3 linked regions of the Ovis aries genome follow. The protein of the gene in region 1 purifies or fractionates together with the protein of each later gene. This does not show direct contact. Links are inferred from orthologs where the notes say so. Each region holds a gene or a part of one and is shown on either strand. Other genes may lie near its edges.

Region 1 (5,857 bases):
GACATGACTGTGCGACTTTCACTTTCATTGATAGATAACATTAGTTTCAGATGTCTAATAGACATTGTTCACAAATTAATATCCACCTGACCCACACGTCTTAAGTGGAAATATTTAGGAAGCGTATTCAAACTAGTGACATAAAGTCTTCTGAATCTTTATCTTCCATAATCACTGTTATATTCAGTATATTTTAATATAAATATAATTTTATTCTGTTTTTGTTCTTTAATGGTATAATTTTTGCCTTGTTAATTTTTTTTAAAGACTCTTTGAAGTTATTATTTATCAAAAGTGAACAGGATTTCTCTTCAGGTCCCACTTTTTATATGAAATTGTTTTGAAGGGTTGTTTTCATTGCAGTGATTTTTTTTTTTTATTTGCCACAGGTATACAGGAAGGTGAGGGCAGAGGAAAGGCCTGTCCTGTGCCTGTTAGCTGGGTAGCAGGCCCTCCATTGGCTCCATGTCCCCCTTCAGGAGGAGAAACAGGGGCCCCAAGCTTCCCAAGTCCTGAAGTGCAGGGAAATCAGCAGGATTCACCAAGGAGACATTTGCTCGAGTTCTGAAGTTCTTCCTGGTTCCTGGAACCAGGTCCTGGCTTCCAGCAGGACTCTCTAGTGATCTCCTTAGTTTCAGCAGGACGTCTTGCCCCAGACAAGGCCTGGGCAGTCAGACGGGAAGATAGGTTAAGATTCTCTTTGAGGTTTAAAGTATAAAGATGATTTTCTAAAGCAAGTCTGAAGGGTATATGCAATTCACATCCCATATTTTATGTGTTACATATCTTAAGGAGTTCAGTATCTTCGAGTGAAGTTTTAAAGGCATCACAGACTGGAATGTGATGCTTATTGAGAAGACACAATTATCCAATAGGTCATCTGTTTGGAGGCATTATTTTAGCTATTACATATCCCATCTTGAAAATTTATTTTTGTCTTTTTTATCTAGGTCGAACTGGAAGGTACACGCTTATAGAAAAATGGAGAGATACTGAAAGGCACTTAGCACCTCATGAAAATCCTATCATATCTTTAAACAAGTGGGGGCAGTATGCTAGTGATGTACAGCTGATCTTACGGCGCACAGGGCCATCTCTCAGTGAGCGACCCACATCGGATAGTGTGGCTCGAATTCCTGAAAGAACTTTGTACAGGCAGAGTTTGCCCCCCTTAGCTAAACTGAGGCCTCAGATTGACAAAACAATCAAAAGGAGAGAACCTAAAAGGAAATCATTAACATTTACAGGAGGTGCCAAAGGATTAATGGACATATTTGGAAAAGGTAAAGAAACTGAATTTAAGCAAAAGGTGCTGAATAACTGCAAAACAACAGCAGATGAATTGAAGAAGCTGATCCGTTTGCAGACCGAGAAGCTCCAATCCATTGAGAAAGAGCTAGAATCAAATGAAATAGAAATACGATTTTGGGAGCAAAAATATAATTCTAACCTTGAAGAGGAAATTGTCCGCCTGGAGCAAAAGATCAAAAGAAATGATGTAGAAATTGAAGAGGAAGAGTTTTGGGAAAATGAATTACAGATTGAACAGGAAAATGAAAAACAGCTGAAAGATCAACTTCAAGAAATAAAACAGAAAATAACAGAATGTGAAAGCAAGTTAAAGGACTATTTGGCTCAAATTCAGACTATGGAAAGTGGTCTTGAAGCAGAAAAATTGCAACGGGAAGTCCAAGAGGCACAAGTAAATGAAGAAGAGGTTAAAGGCAAGATCGGTAAGGTCAGAGGGGAAATTGACATTCAAGGCCAGCAGAGTCTAAGGCTGGAAAATGGTATTAAAGCTGTGGAAAGATCTCTTGGCCAAGCCACCAAACGATTACAGGTAAGAACTTTTTATAAAAAGAATTTTTTTAATCTGTTTAAAAGAATATCTTCCGGCATCTTCTTTAATGATTATTCATTTTCCCTTACATTTAGAGTTAGAAACCTACCTTGGTTTATAAGTTCCTTAGAATTTCTGTGACTTACGACAATGCTAAATAGGAGACTAAACCAAAGATGAGAGCTGGAGCCACAGGTCCTTTTCCATGAAAGCAGCTTTCTTAACTGGGGTAATAGCAGCACTAGGAGGAGAAGGCAATGGCACCCCACTCCAGTACTCTTGCCTGGAGAATCCCAGGGACGGCGGAGCCTGGTGGGCTGCTGTCTATGGGGTCACACAGAGTCGGACACGACTGAAGTGACTTAGCAGCAGCAGCAGCAGCACTAGGTAATTGGAGACAGGAGATGAGAACCTCCGAGCAGGTGTGGACGCTAATGATGAGGTCGTGAATCTGACCTCCTCCTTTTAACGGTAGGGTAACCAAAGCTGATCACCGAGAAGTGGTTCACAAAGGCTGTGTGGCTAGCTGTCTGCATGTCTAATCGCCTCTCCTTTGTTGCTAAGCACGTCTTCTCTCCTCTCCAGAGGGGCAGGTTTCTCCCTGACTTTTTCCCATCTCTAAACCGCATACAGGAACATTTATATTTCACACTCAGACCATGATCACTCAGCTTATATTTCTTGGATGCCTATTCTTGGAAAGACAATGTGGTAGTAAATGTTACGGGAGTTGCAAAGAGGTATCTAACAGCTGAAATGAGACACAATTGATTATCAAATGTTCACTTCACATTTTTTAAAAGATTTGGGGGGGGGGGGTATGTGGACCATTTTTAAAGTCCTTTTTGAGTTTGTTACAGTGTTGCTTCTGTTTTAGTTATTTATTTGTTTATTTTTAGTGTTTCAGTCAGGAGGCATACCAGGAACAGAAACCACACTTAACCACTGCAGCGCCAGGGAAGTCCCTACTTACGTTTAAACTGAAGTTAAATAATACTCAATAAAGCTGTTTAAAAATATTAAATAAAGTTAAATTTCTGTTTTAGTCATATTTGGCCTCTTTTCAAGTGCTCTAGTAGCACATCTGTTCAGGGGCTCCTGTATTGGGCAGTGCTGGTTTAGAAGCTCTGTAATCATGGATCAGAGAGTGAACCATGAGGTTTCAGGGCACAGTGGTTAGAAATTCAGGCTGTGTGTAGTAACAGCATCTCCAAATAGCACCTGTGCACATTGGAGTTTGAGAAGAGATGCTTTAGAGGAGGGACAGTTCCACAAGCAGAGAAAGCTGAGGTTTCAGGAGGAACTGATACGATTTCCTGTCTCTGCCACTCATTACGGTAAGAGGCAGAGCTACCACAGAAATTTGGAAAATCAGGAATTTCTCAGTAATAGAAGGTTGCTAACCTATGACTGGTCAGTATTGTACTGTTCTGTTCAGTTGCTCAGTCGTGTTCGACTCTTTCGCAACCCCATGGGCTGTAGCACGCCAGGCTTCCCTGTCCTTCACCATCTCCCGGAGTTTGCTCAAACTCACATCCATTGAGTCGGTGATGCCATACAACCTTCTCATCCTCTGTCAACCCTTTATTTAGACACTTAAGGGTACATTTGGTAATGATATTGCCTTGCTATTACATACTAATTTATGAAAATTGTTATTAGTAAACTCCACTTCCTGTGAAAAGTATCTGAGAATCAAATTACTCAGATATCTCCAAGTACCCCCTACACTCAAAGTAGCAAAAAACAACCACTCCTTTCTCTTTTCTCTTCCCTATCCTTACCAGATCCTTCAGACTCACCCAGCTTAGATAAGGCCCTCCTGCTTTTCCTTACAGTGCCCTAAGAGAGAAAGAGAAGAAAGTCCATTTGAATAACAGAATGCCTCTCCTTGCTTTTGGAGCTTTCTGGCCATCCAAACTTGGTCTCCTTACTTTAGAGCTCTTCAGTTCACAGACCTGCTTGTCAAGGATTTAAAAACCCCATAGTGGAAATCTTGCCTTCCTCGTGCTCTAACATAAATCTCAGTAAAGCATTTCATGAAAAGGAGCCCGAATCTCATGAACCAAATGACTGTTAATTTTGCTGCATATTGTGAAGTAGTGGGCTTCCCTGGTGGCTCAGTTGGTAAGGAGTCTGCCTGCAATGCAGGCAATACCTGGGCTCAGTCCCTGGGTCAGGAAGATCCCCTGGAGAAGGAAATGGCAGCCCATTCCAGTATTCTTGCCTGCAGAATTCCATGAACAGGGGAGCCTGATAGGCTACAAACCATGGGGTCACAAAGAGTCAGATACAACTGATTGACTAACACTTATTATGAAGTAGATATGGGGAAGTATAGTTATGAAGAGCTTACCAAGATTGCTGTAAACACTGGGATAGATGGAATCCAGTCTTTTATTCATGAAAGTCTGTAGACATAGATTTATTTCATCAGGTACATAGTGTACTCTTAGCAGAGGAAGGCATGACATTTAAAAGCACAAACTGAAGAAGCTGTTGTCTTTTATTTATTTTTTGGCCCATGCCACAGAGTGAGCTTGACCTCCTCAGCCCAGTATGTCAATATAAACCAGGTTTGTTACAAGCACTCTTGTGAAAGTGAGCATCCCACCTTTAACCCTGTAGCAGATGGACAGTGACCAGGATGTCTGTAGCTGGCCAATAATGAATCCTCAAATTTTAGAAAAAATTTAACTTCCGTCTAGGACAGAGAACAAGAATTGGAGCAGTTGACCAAAGAGCTGCGGCAAGTCAACCTCCAGCAGTTTATCCAGCAGACAGGGACGAAAGTCACCGTCCTGCCAGCGGAGCCCATTGGAGTGGAGGCCTTGCATGCAGACACAGAAAGGGGTAAGCTTTGAGAAACCGCTTTTTAAAACCTTGACTTTCACTGTTAACTTTGAATAAACTGCTTGCATTTGATTGCAACATTCTCCTACTACTCAAAACTGATTCTTGGGTCACTTAAAGAAATTTTTTCTGGGAAGAATCAATAATGTTTACATTATTTATTTACTTAGATGGGTAAATATCCTATCACTCATTTTAAACTGTTTCCTTGCAAACTTGTCCTGAAATATGTGTCAGTCATGGTCCATTAAATTGAGTGGTAACTTCTCTTTGTTCCTAAGGCCCCTTCTTCCTCTCCTAAAAGTCTTCATTATTAATTTGTGCTGGTATTTAAAAGACAGTTCTAAATCTGCCTATGCGTATGATATGAACAACCCAGAAAGAGAGGCACAGTGCTCACCTTTTTCAAAAGATCATGAACTCCTCAGATGACTAGAAACTATTTAATCAACTGAGAGTGTCAAGCAGACTCAGCCTGTCCTCTCACCCAGAACCTATGGGGGTGCAGTCATTACTCTGTATCACTTGGTTCTTGAGAACAGGGAAAGTTCTGATTTCTCATATCCAGGTCACTGGTGCAAACATCAAATGACGTTCTCTGTTTCTTGTTTAGAGGCACCATTCCAGTCCGGGTCTCTGAAGCGGCCTGGCTCCTCTCGGCAGCTCCCCAGTAACCTGCGTATTCTACAGAATCCTATCTCATCTGGTTTTAATCCTGAAGGCATCTATGTATAACATTACCTGTCTTCAGGGTAGAGATCCAGGAAAGGTACCAAGGACGGTGAAGATTCCTTCTTTGATTTTGTGCCAATGATGAACGGAGGATCTGTTCCACAAGCCACCGCATCTTTTTTCTGTCCTAAGTTGCATACCACTTGGAGCCATACCCTGTGCACTGATGCTAAAGAACAAAGAAACTGTGTCTTCACACACCCACAGTGTTGACGTTTTTGTCCAGCAGCTGTAATGCCAAGCCTTCATTTTTATCTGTAGCATTTTGAGAGCATTAGGAAAGTATTATACAGTGTGCATACGTAAATAAAACCGTGACTTAAGAGTGAAGAGAAATATGTGACTGACTTAGTTTATTTATTCCATGTAATCAATTAATGAGTGAATGTTGATGTTTTAATATTTTTTATTAATACTTATCCTGTGACTGAA
Region 2 (5,857 bases), on another chromosome or scaffold:
TGTGTGTAGTCCAACACCCAGTTCATAAGATGAGGCGGGAGAAAATTGACTCTACTTCAGTAAAATTTAAAAAGAAAAGAATGAAGTGGGCGAGAAAGATATTTGATATTGACAACGAGTCAGAGAAGTGCTAGTAAGGCAGTCACTATTTAGGTAATGAAATGAGAGGCAGAGAATTTTATAACATTGTGTTTTAGGAATTCATTACAGGTACTACTGTTTAGAACAGTTTCCTTTTTATATAGCGGTTAGCCAATATTCTGAGGTTTTATTTGATAAAGTTCAAATTCACACAGTCTCTTTGTTGTGATATACTTCCTAGTGTGTTGGCTACATCACTTTTGGTTTCTTTTTTATTAGAAGCGTTAATCATTGAGAAGGTCAGCATTGAATAGTATCAATTTTGACTCTTTGTCTTCAAGACTCATGTAATGAATGACCTTGTACTGCAGCTTTCCCCTCTCCCATCAGGGAGGTATAGTTTGCCACCCAGTCTGTGGGCCTGAAAGTATCCTGACATAGGTGGCTTTCAGTGGATGGTTTACCAACGTAAGAAAACATTGATAATTTTGTTAAAATTGTACTGTATTGGAATTTTTTATTCAAATGTAGGTTTCCATGAGGGGATTTTATTTTATTTTATTTTATTTTTCCATGAAGGGATTTTAAAGCCACTGCTGAACGTGGTACTTTTTTCCTAAGTGTAGCAGGCACTCTGTGCTACCATTTCCTCCATTCCCCCTGCCCATGTTGTGACTGTAGTCCTGGAAAAGCTGAGGTATCTGTTGCTGGATAAAATGTGAATGTGTGTTACACTTTTCTGATGCCAGAGCTGTCTGGTCTGTGGTAATAGGAAACTGCATTAGGGGTTCTGGCTCAGAATCTGAGGATTTGGAAGCTTGAAGAGGCCTTGGCAGTTATCCAGGAATCTTTCTGGAGCCAGATGCTCCTGTCGGTCTGAGGTGGCCTTAGCGGGGAAATGTACAGAGGAAAGAAAGCAGCAGCCCGGGACTAAGTTAATAAGATGCTCAGGCAACAGGAGGAAGAATCTTAATTTTTGATGAAGAAGCCGACAGAGTGAGTTGTGAGTTGTTTCTTGGTCGCCTTTGGAAATGGAACCCACCTATGGTTTGAGAGTGGACAGAACAGACTATATTGCAGACAGAGTTGGTGCTATCAAATAATTGTTGAGGCTTAATGATAATCCTTAATCAGTATATCTGGAATTCTGTTTTCAGACTATTTTAAAATAGTGCATATGAAACTAAGTTGTTGCTTATAAATCATACATCTCTTAAATATTATATATATCTAATTCTCTCTTTTTTAATAAAAGCATAGTTTTTGAATATTGCCTTGGAGGACTTATCTTGAGGGTATGTATCTGCAGAACACCAGTCTCTCTTTTAACCATCCCAAAATTTCCACAGGTAAAAGAAGATATAACATTAAACTATGGAAAACTTTCACAGACTGCTTTAACTGTTTACCGATAGCAGCCATCGTGGATGAGAAAATATTCTGCTGTCATGGAGGTATGTGGGCTGATTTTAATTCCATGTAGATTTGGATTCTTCTAAAGGGTATACACTTTGACATTGATGAATTAACATTCGGATGACTTCCTCTGTGAGGTGACTCTCCTGTACTGCTGTGTTAAACCAGGAGTCCACTCTGGCACATCCAGGATCATCCGGATACAAGTCCAAAGTATGCAGTTGATTTGTTACAAAGACTTCTAGGCTCTGTAACAGTTAGTCTTGAAACTAGAGTAGAAAGTATTTTCGAATATAAAATAAACAATGTGCTATACCATAGACTCTGTAGGATACTGAAAATGTGAATATACTTTCCCTTGGACTGTTTTTGGTCTTTTCCTTTCAGAAATTTCTCTGACTTAGATGTTAAAAGTTATTTTGCTTGGTGATTGTACTTTATATGATGTAATTAAAATAGTAATGGCAAAGAGGATATCTTTTCATCTATGTCAGAAGTTAGACAACCATCAAAAAGCCAACTCGACTATATTTTAATAAAACCACTATCCTTGCCCTCCTTAGGTACTTATATACTGGTTTTGGTAGAGTTGGACATGTGATTTTTAAAGTCAGATTGAGAGCCAGTTATATCTGAGCTGGTTTGACTTTACAGTCCTTGGCCAGTGCACGTTTCCTAGAAAGCTTCATCACCTGAGTGTCTGCATCTTCTACGCCCGGTCACTACAGTGGTCATTAGGGTGCTCTGAATGTTGAAGTAACTTTCCTTGTCCTGTTTGGGCCCACACTGCCCCACAAATTAGTGCATGTAACAAGTTCCAGTGTCCCCCACCCCCCGTCCCTTTTTAACAAAAGCTAATAGGTAAGAAAAGATAACCAAAGAGTTCATGATTGAGTCTCTCTGAAGAGAAAGGGAAATATTAAAGTGCTGACTTCCCTTTTAAAATTGTGTTTTCTTCCATTTTGGTTTTTTCCCCCTCATTTAATAGGTTTATCACCAGATCTTCAATCTATGGAGCAGATTCGGCGAATTATGCGACCAACCGATGTACCAGATCAAGGTCTTCTTTGTGATCTTTTGTGGTCTGACCCCGATAAAGATGTCTTAGGCTGGGGTGAAAATGACAGAGGAGTGTCCTTCACATTTGGTGCAGAAGTGGTTGCAAAATTTCTCCATAAGCATGATTTGGATCTTATATGTAGAGCCCATCAGGTATTGATTTTGAATTTTACATGTACACTTAAGAGCATGTGTGTGAGCACAGATTCTCCTTGTTGATTTTGGTGGGTAGGTATTGCTTATTTATACAAAATGTCTCTGGAAATGACCTACAGGATATCAGGCTCAATGGGAAACTGAAGAGTGATTTTACTCACCTAAAGTTTGCACCCGTTCACATTGAAAACATTTTCTCTCCAAGGTGGTTGAAGATGGATATGAATTTTTTGCAAAGAGGCAGTTGGTCACTCTGTTTTCTGCGCCCAATTATTGTGGAGAGTTTGACAATGCAGGTGCCATGATGAGTGTGGACGAAACACTAATGTGTTCTTTTCAGGTAGAGGATGTTTTCAGCATTGTTTCCTTTTATTATGTCTGCATTTTATTGATTTTTTAAAAGTGCTAATTTCTGCCTATATTCATTTATGTGGAATAGACTGAAAAATTATTATTTTCCCTTAATTGGTGTTTGTCCTAGTTCAGTAATGAGTGAATTCCTTTTAAAAGAATGAAATGATCATAGAACTTTTGCCCCAAGTATTGAATTTAACTTTTTTCATATTATTTGAATACATTAAAATCATGAGACATTAAGTCTAAAGCTACAGTGTTAGTACCGTGTTCCGCTGAAATTAAACCACATGAAAGTAGCCCTCGCTGCCGTGCGCCAGGTGTGCCACGTGATGACTCAGTTCTCCCTCCATGTCTCTGTTTCTAAAAAACCTCTAGTGATTGACCGTGACATCATTTGGCCGTCACTTGGCACAAAAGAATCATTTACACATAAAGTCTGCAGTTTTTTTCTCATTCAATTACTATGATTAAACTTATACGACTTCAGGCTTACCCAATCATAAACAAAAACACAGCCACTGAAGTCAAGTCATCAGTTAACTGAATTAAAACAAGTGTTTTTGACTTTTTTTATTTTTAAATTATCAGGTCTTGCAACCCCCAGAGATTATGACATGATCCCCTAGGGGTTTGAGAAACACTATTCTAAAGAACTATATCCCCTGGGTCAGAAGGGATACCTAAAGATGTGACTTCAAAAAACTGTCATTTTATCCAGAGGCGAAACAGTTTGTCCAGATCATATATCATAGCGGTTTATAAGAGTATTTATTACCAAAATGTTTGTCAGCTTGGTTTGTGTTAATACGCCAGTGGAGCTTTCAGAGTTGTTGGGTCAATTTTAAACAAACTTTCTGAACAAAAGATTTGAGTGAAATGTAAGACTTGAGGTTAAGTGTATTTCCTAAAATACACTGTCTTGAATCTTTGCAGATTTTAAAGCCTGCGGAGAAAAAGAAGCCGAATGCCACAAGACCCGTCACACCTCCAAGGGGTATGATCACAAAGCAAGCAAAGAAATAGATGTCATTTTGATACTGCCTAGTTGGGACTTGTAACATATAGTACATAACCTTCATTTTTAAAACTGTAATGTGTATTGGTCAGCTTGCTCAAATAGTGTTTGTGGGGCTCCCCTTTCCATTTTTGACTTAATGAATGGTATTTGCTGGTTATAACAGCAAATGAAAGATTCTCCACTCCCAAGGAAAAATGTTTTGTTTAGTTCCCTGTTCCTTTTACAGACAACATTAATGGTGTTAAAGCTGTACACTCAGGACAGTGTCCCCTGTCTAAGGGGTGAGTGTACAACTGATCTTTTTTTAATTCAGTACAGCCCATAAATAATGTAAATGCTCATTTTCTTTAGGATATAAAGAGAGCCCTAGGGTGCTCAATCTGTACATGTTATTGTCATAAAATGCATACTGTTGGATACAAACCACTGTGAACTTTTTTGTTTCAAAGGGATTGCTTTTTTTTTTCATTGTCTTATGTACAAACTAGTTTTTATAGCTATCAACATTAGGAGTAACTTTCAACTTTGCCAGCATCACTGGTATGTATATTTAATTAAAGCACACTTTCCCCTACGGTATACTTAAAATGACGATTAAAGCCATTATTTTAAATGTTTGTGACTTTTTTCCTGAAGCCAAAGTTTCTGTTGAAATATATATTGACACTCCCCTAAGTAAGTACAAGGTGGCATGGTTGTGTACACCTGTCACCTTTATGGGGATTCAAAAACAGGTTTTTGAGTTTGAATAGCAGTTAGTAACATAGTGCTGTTTAAGCTATTAATAATTAAAGTTAATTACATTTTGTATGATTTCCATATAGTCTATTCATTAAGTAATCTTTTTACAGTTACATCAGGCCTGAACCCGTCCATTCAGAAAGCTTCAAATTATAGAAACAATACTGTTCTATACGAGTGACCGATTATGCATTCTTTGGCCTACATTCTTTATTCTGCGATGAAGTTGAGGCTTATAAGTCAAAACAAAGGAACTAACTTACTATCCACCAGTTTATACAGAACTCACAGTATATGACTTTTTTAAACTAAGATCTGTTAAAAAGAAATCTGTTTCAACAGATGACCGTGTACAATACCATGTGGTGAAAATTAATTCAGACTTATTAAATGATGAACTTGTTAAATCCTCTCAGTGTCAATTTATCAGCACAATACACACAGGAGAACTGTTGATGGCATATTGAATAGATTTTAATGAATAAATTGCTCTGGAAACCACACAGTTTCAATTTGGATTTGTCTTCCTTCAAATAGTCTGTTTTCCAAAGATGGATTGTAATATGGATGCTCATTCTTCAAATTCTTATTGGATATAACTAAGTTTCTGAAGTAGAGAGATGAGATTGAGCTATTTAGGGAGGTGTGGGACTTGGTGAGTTGTGTGACATCATCTGTATCCATATTTTTTGTCTGGGTTTATTTGAACTTGGCAATAAAATTCAAGAGCTACTTTTTGAATTATTCTAAGTCAACCACCAGTGTTTTTATACACAAACCTTTGCTCTTTTCTCTCTTCCCTAATTCATATGAAACACAATGTTGTGTCCTACATTTTTCACAAGTGTGTTGAATGCATATTCATTTCTCTGGTACATTAAAAGTGGATGGAGAGTGTGTCATTTGAAAAGCACATTCTTCTATCAAAAACTGGTTGTCTCATAGGGAGCTGAAAGAGGACCACCTAGTGGGGATTGTTTGAACCAGCATTTGCTTGTGGGAGAAAAGAGCATAGTTTGTACTGCAAGC
Region 3 (5,857 bases), on another chromosome or scaffold:
AAGAAGAAGGCAGCCTGAAACCAAAGGTGAATTCCAACCCCAAGGAAATAACTGTCTGGCATTCTGCTTTATTAGAATCAGCACATGATCACTCTACAGTCGCACATTAGCCCAGTAGTATGGGAGATCAGCCCATGATCGACGTCTGTGCCTGTGACATTACTTTCACAACAGCAAAGATATCACCTGAGCCACAGATGCTCCCCAATTCCTGCTTCTCTCCATAGAAATCATCTAACAGAGATCACAGGGTTGGCCTGGGACAGAGCCAAGGCAAGAATGAGAATGTGGTAACCCTGAGTTAGATTTGCATTACGTTCACGCGCACTATCTAACGTGATGGGAGGGTTTATAAGCCCTATTTTCAGATGAGAAAATTTAAGACTCAGAGGGCATAAACTGCTGCCAAGAAGTCACAACTAATAAATGCTGTCAGCCAAGACGGCCCCAGGTCTGCCGATGATTCCTAGCCCTTTCTAAGACCCATACGGGTGGTTTCCAACAGCAGCATCACAGTTGTTTGTCTTCCTACAGCCCCTCCTCCCAATCTCTTCCCAATAGCATCACTTTTTAATGTTTTGCACAGTGAGTAGGTCCATAAAATATTTATTTTAATAAAAAAAGTTTTGATTGTTTAAAAAAATCAAGTTTGAAAACCCACTCACCTAAGTATTGTATTACAGTTTGAACCTCATCCTAGTTGAAGCAGTGGTTCTCTAAGTAGGATTCCATCCCAGATCAGCACCCCTTGACTACTAGTCGGAAGTTCCAAACCTCAGCTCTACTGAATCAGAACTTCTCAAGGCTGAAATGCTTTGTATTTCTTCTAGGTACTATTATTACTATGTTTTAGCTCATAAACTCATGGGCTAATGCCCCCATGAACACTTCTTTTCTTTCCCATGCCATGTGGCATGCAGGATCTGAGTCCCCGTACCCCCTGCAGTGGAAGCACGGCATCCTAACCACTGGGTCACCAGGGAAGTCCCAGGAACATTTCTTAAATGAAACAGATGTTTGTTACTACATCTTACAAAACATCACCATGAATACATACATAGATATTTCACAATCACATAGATGGTTATATATGTATTCACAGTCAGTGTCGGAAACAAACTCTTTCTCAGAGCCATTTCACCTCAAAGCTCTCTCGACATGCAATCATCAGCCTCTCTCACTGCACGTGACTTTGGGAGCTGTCTGAGCTCCCCAGGGAGCTTGTTTTGATTACTTGCCAGGAAATTTTAATGCGATGAATAAAAGGATATTCTTTTGGGAATAACTGATAACTAAACAATATTTTCATCAGGTCCTATTTTAATTCTAATTTATGAAGCTTTTATCCCTTATCTTGCCCATAAAATCAACATCTTGTCTTCATTCCTACTGGCAGTACCATCCTCCTCTGACTTAACCTAAGCAAGCCATAAACCTCACCTCCCCACAGGAAATACAGGGGACGGAAAGTCAAATGACACCCCAAGGAAACAACCAGACAAGTCCAGAAGTTGAGACCTTAATAACACAACTGCACTGATTTCTTTTTTTTGAATGCACAGTATCTAGTATCTAGATGCAATGTATGATACTGAAGTGGACCCTGCGTCTGGAGAGAAATTTTATTTAAAAAACAAAAAGCTGGGACAATTGAAGAATCTGTCTTATCATGACAGAATTAATTAACAGAAAATTTCCTGGAAGTGATCAGTATGTGACCCAGGAATTTAAAATGTTTGTCTACATGGTCAAGATGTATATAGAAAATCAGATGTTTTAATAAACAGTACTACAAAATAGGAAAGCAGCTACACACCCAACAATTAGAAATTGAGGACATATAATCCATGAAATACTGCACCGCAATTTAAATGCTGTGCACAGAACACCATGAAAGGTAGCATCTCATCTTTAGTCTGAAGTAGAATCTGCAGCCACAGACAATGGGAAAGAACTGCTAAACTCAATTGGCCACCCTTCTGATTTTCCATAAGAAACATATATGTATAATTTCATAATTTTATCACCTTAAGTAACAAGTGAATACATCCCTTCCTTTCCCCTTCCTTCTTTTCTTGTTCTCAATAATGGAATCACCTTCTAACTCATCTCACTGCTTCCAGGCTCCTGTCTTAATCCTCTCTACATCCTGAGACTGCATTCATCTTCACAAAACACCTATTTCATCGTGTCCCTGCCCTGGGATGAGTCACTTCCAGTGACTCACTACATCCTAACCACTAAAACCCAACGTCCTCGGCCAAGCACTCAACACTCTCCAAGCCTGCTTTTCCGGACTCTCTGTGGATCCTACCCTAGGCACCCAGAGCCAAGCCCGAGACAGAGCAGGTGCTCAGTAGACACTGGTCCCTTCCCCTCCACACAGCTGAGAGCATTCACCCCACAATTCCAGTGACCCAGGCTGTCCTTCCCTCTCCCACAGAGATCACAACCACCTCCCCGTGAAATGCCCTCCGACCCCAAGGTGTTCATCCAGACCACAGAGGTGTCACATGATAGCCTGTTTCCTTGCACACGCATGGAGATACTTTTTTATCTCTAGATAAGTTCCCCAAATGCAGGGATCATCTTCTGCTCTTTAGCACAAAACAATGAACAAAACACCATGCTGTTGCACAAATAATGTATAAAATACATATAATAAATAACCCAATTGGACAAAAAAGAAATTTCAACAAGACTTTCTCGGAAAACTAGAATCCACGAAGAGGCTTATGCTCCCCTAACCACCAAAAGAAACCCCATGGACACGGGCGCCTGTTGGGATCAACGCTCCCTTTATCCTGTATCCTCTGACTTCAGGCAGAGCTTGCTCAAGAACCTCAGTGTGACTATCCTGGCTGACACTCCAGATGGCCTGAGCTGTGGGGAAAGAAGCCTTCCAGGTACTTTATCCTCCCAACGTAAAGGAACCCAATTTCCTGCAGAAACACCTTCATGCTCACGCGCAGAGCTGCATCCCCAGCACCGCTGGCCTGGAGGACCAGGCAGAAGTTGAGTTTATGCTGGTCACACCTGCTTACAACTTAGGAAAAGGAGAGCCAGACAACAGCTTACTGAGGCCAGCCACGTTCTCCCCGATTACGTCCCAGGGAGGGTCAGGACGCCCAGGGCAGACGGTGGGCAGTACTGTCACCTGATAGGCCAGAGGCACCAGGAAAGGGCGTGAGACAGTAAATGAGGCTGAGACCCGAAAAACAATATGGACCTACAGGAGTGTCCTCCCCAGCTCCAAGCCTCTCCTTCCAGGCCTGGGGACCACCAGAGAGCTGAAGGTGGGCGCCTGCACCAGGCCTCCCTGGGCCTCCCTAACCCTCCCGACTCCACGAGGGGCCAGCATGGGGCCACTCATGCACAGCAATGGTTTTCAGGACATTCATTCGAGGTAAATGCTTCCGGCTCCATGTGCAGGTGTGAGGCCAGGGGAGCAGGAAACCCAACCTGTCTGAGATCATGGAAGAGAAAGGGCATTTCAGCTCAGATGTCACTCTGACTTCTCAGTGACTGCTCTGCTCTTTTGGACGCACTGCTTCTTGCACAAGGATCAAATGGATTTGTTAGGAGGACACACGAGGAAGGGAAAATCTGATCAGGATAGAGTCTTGTCTTTTCTTTCTTTCATTCTTTTTTTTTTTTTTTTCACTTAGAATGGGAAAAAATAACAACGAAAAATATGTAACCCAAGTCTACACGTATATAGACTAGACTATCTTCAGTTTAAGGAAGTAATGTTTTACCCCCAGTGTCACCTATAAAGACATATAGATTTAAGAAGCATGTCGGCACCTGTAAGTGCTGGATTCCAAGCTGCAGGGAAAAAAGCAAAAATCCCATAACCATTAAAGGGCTTTCCAGGTGGCACTAGTGGTAAAGAATCTGCCTGCCAATGCAAGAGACATAAGAGACCCCTGGGTGGGGAAGATCCCCTGGAGGACAGGGCAACCCACTCCAGTATTCTTGCCTGGAGAATGCTATGGACAGAGGAGCCTGTCAGGCTACAGCCCATAAGGTTGCAAAGAGTCGGACACAACTGAAGCAACTTAGCACACACATACAACCATTAAAACCAGGCCTCAGACCCCTCAGGGCAGAGACCCATCCTGGGGCACCAGCAGCCCACAGCACCTGTACACATCAGGCAACAACTGAGATCTTCTAAAGTGAACTAAGATGCTGAATGTTTTTCTACTGTTTATAAAGAAATAACCAACCTAAGAGATCCTCAAGGTTCTTACCCAGCTTCACAAAAGAAAAACCTCCCCTCTCCTATTTACTCCCCAACCAGCCAACAAGAGAGGCTGACTCAGACAAAAAGGAATTTCTCCGACAGAAAGAAAGCCTCCCTGAAACATGATAAACTCTAATAGTGCAAAATTCTAAAACAAACCAACCAAATTTGACCCCAAAGCAGCTCTCGACACCCCCATCCTATGACTTAATCCAAAAACCACCTCCCATCTTTCTTTAAAGATGTTATCTCAAGTTGCTTAAAAATCCACAATTAATTCCTTACATCTGGCAGTACCCAACTGGACTGAATCAGAAGAATGACTCGTGAACTAACAGAGGAGACTGTGAGGAAACGGTGGGTTTTGATAGTTAGATAATTTGCACCTACCTGGGGTCTCCTTTTTAGAAGCCTGGGCACACAGCCATCCAGCCGCACTCTGTGGCCCCTACACTCAAACTCAGCATAGCCCCCGCTGCGCAGGGTCCGGCGAGGAAGGCCACAGCACCACCACATCACAGGGGTGGCCCCAAGATGGGGGACAGCAGATGCTGGTACTCAGAACGTGGCTCCAACTGCAGGCACTCGGGAGGTGGAAAGGCCTGTCCCAGTGTTTCCTGGGACTGCTGATGCCAGAGGTGGAGCACCCTCCTCCTCCCAGGACACTCCCAGCATGGGTCCAGGGCGGGAGCTATGATGGTATCTTCAAAAGATGTGCCAGAGACCAGAGTCCTCTCCAAGTCTCATTACCTTGGACATATGTGCAGGCGAGGAACCTGCATCAGCTTTTAGGATGATTTTCAGCAGAGAAGAGAGCGACAGACAGACAAAGCACACAGTCACCACGAACACCGAGACCCGGGCCAGTGAATGCACGGGGTCTCCTTGTCACTCGGACTTGCTATAGCTCGCTGGGCCCCTCCTGGAAACCCCGGGGAAAGCTCACCCAAATGTCAGTGCCTGCTAACATCTACCCTGCACAGCAGCAGCCTCCAGTCTCATTTTGTCTCCTGCCCTGTCTCTCCACGGCACTCACAACAGTGTCTGGAAGATGTGCATGTTTACAGTATCACCCTAATCAAGCCTCAGGACCTGATTCACACACTCAAGGAGCATCTACTCGATGGCAGGCACTGAACAGACACAGGGTTACAGCAGCAAATGGTCCCTAGCCCCAAGTCACTTAAACACAGCCCCACACCCTAAAACTCATCGGTGTTACTGGTGACCCAATACCAAAGGTCAATTTGTATTCCTTTGCTAACTCATAGGTTTCCAAGTGTGTTCGCACTTAAAATTTTTCCTTGAAAATCCCTAGTGTGACTCACAAACTTATCTGGCTTTATCTGGTCAATTTCAAATTGATTTGAAATGGGGGAATTTGAAAGAAAGGGCTTCAAGATACCTTATGAAATATGTGAGCAGATTATAGAGGTTAACGCCATATCGTTTCCTAATCCCTTAGATACACAGTTAGTTTGCTGTCCTTGTAAAGTTTTCCGTTATGAGGCATTTGAAATTTAGTTAACTGTGCCTTCAATGTACTACTTCTAAGAAAATATAGTGCACAGTGTTCCCAAAGAAACAAAACAAAATGCTAAGCTGTGC

The links. Proteins that work in one complex are often made in the same cells at the same time.
Region 2: the proteins of RASSF8 (region 1) and PPP1CC purify together in Homo sapiens (affinity purification with mass spectrometry; 3 studies listed by BioGRID and IntAct, counting the BioPlex papers as one, with this or other methods). This does not show direct contact. The link is inferred for Ovis aries from reciprocal best matches to the Homo sapiens genes RASSF8 and PPP1CC.
Region 3: the proteins of RASSF8 (region 1) and PARD3 purify together in Homo sapiens (affinity purification with mass spectrometry; 4 studies listed by BioGRID and IntAct, counting the BioPlex papers as one, with this or other methods). This does not show direct contact. The link is inferred for Ovis aries from reciprocal best matches to the Homo sapiens genes RASSF8 and PARD3.

The regions. Positions count from the first base shown.
Region 1 is NC_056056.1:189,477,093-189,482,949, reverse strand, and holds part of RASSF8 (ras association domain-containing protein 8), read left to right. Parts: intron 1-950; coding exon 951-1,840; intron 1,841-4,548; coding exon 4,549-4,693; intron 4,694-5,306; coding exon 5,307-5,428; 3' UTR 5,429-5,857.
Region 2 is NC_056070.1:54,595,657-54,601,513, reverse strand, and holds the end of PPP1CC (serine/threonine-protein phosphatase PP1-gamma catalytic subunit), read left to right. Parts: intron 1-1,430; coding exon 1,431-1,535; intron 1,536-2,485; coding exon 2,486-2,709; intron 2,710-2,917; coding exon 2,918-3,052; intron 3,053-4,002; coding exon 4,003-4,063; intron 4,064-4,938; coding exon 4,939-5,009; 3' UTR 5,010-5,329; downstream 5,330-5,857. UniProt on the Homo sapiens protein: Protein phosphatase that associates with over 200 regulatory proteins to form highly specific holoenzymes which dephosphorylate hundreds of biological targets.
Region 3 is NC_056066.1:17,898,315-17,904,171, reverse strand, and holds part of PARD3 (partitioning defective 3 homolog), read right to left. Parts: 5' UTR 4,766-5,857; coding exon 4,640-4,765; intron 1-4,639. UniProt on the Homo sapiens protein: Adapter protein involved in asymmetrical cell division and cell polarization processes. Seems to play a central role in the formation of epithelial tight junctions. Targets the phosphatase PTEN to cell junctions.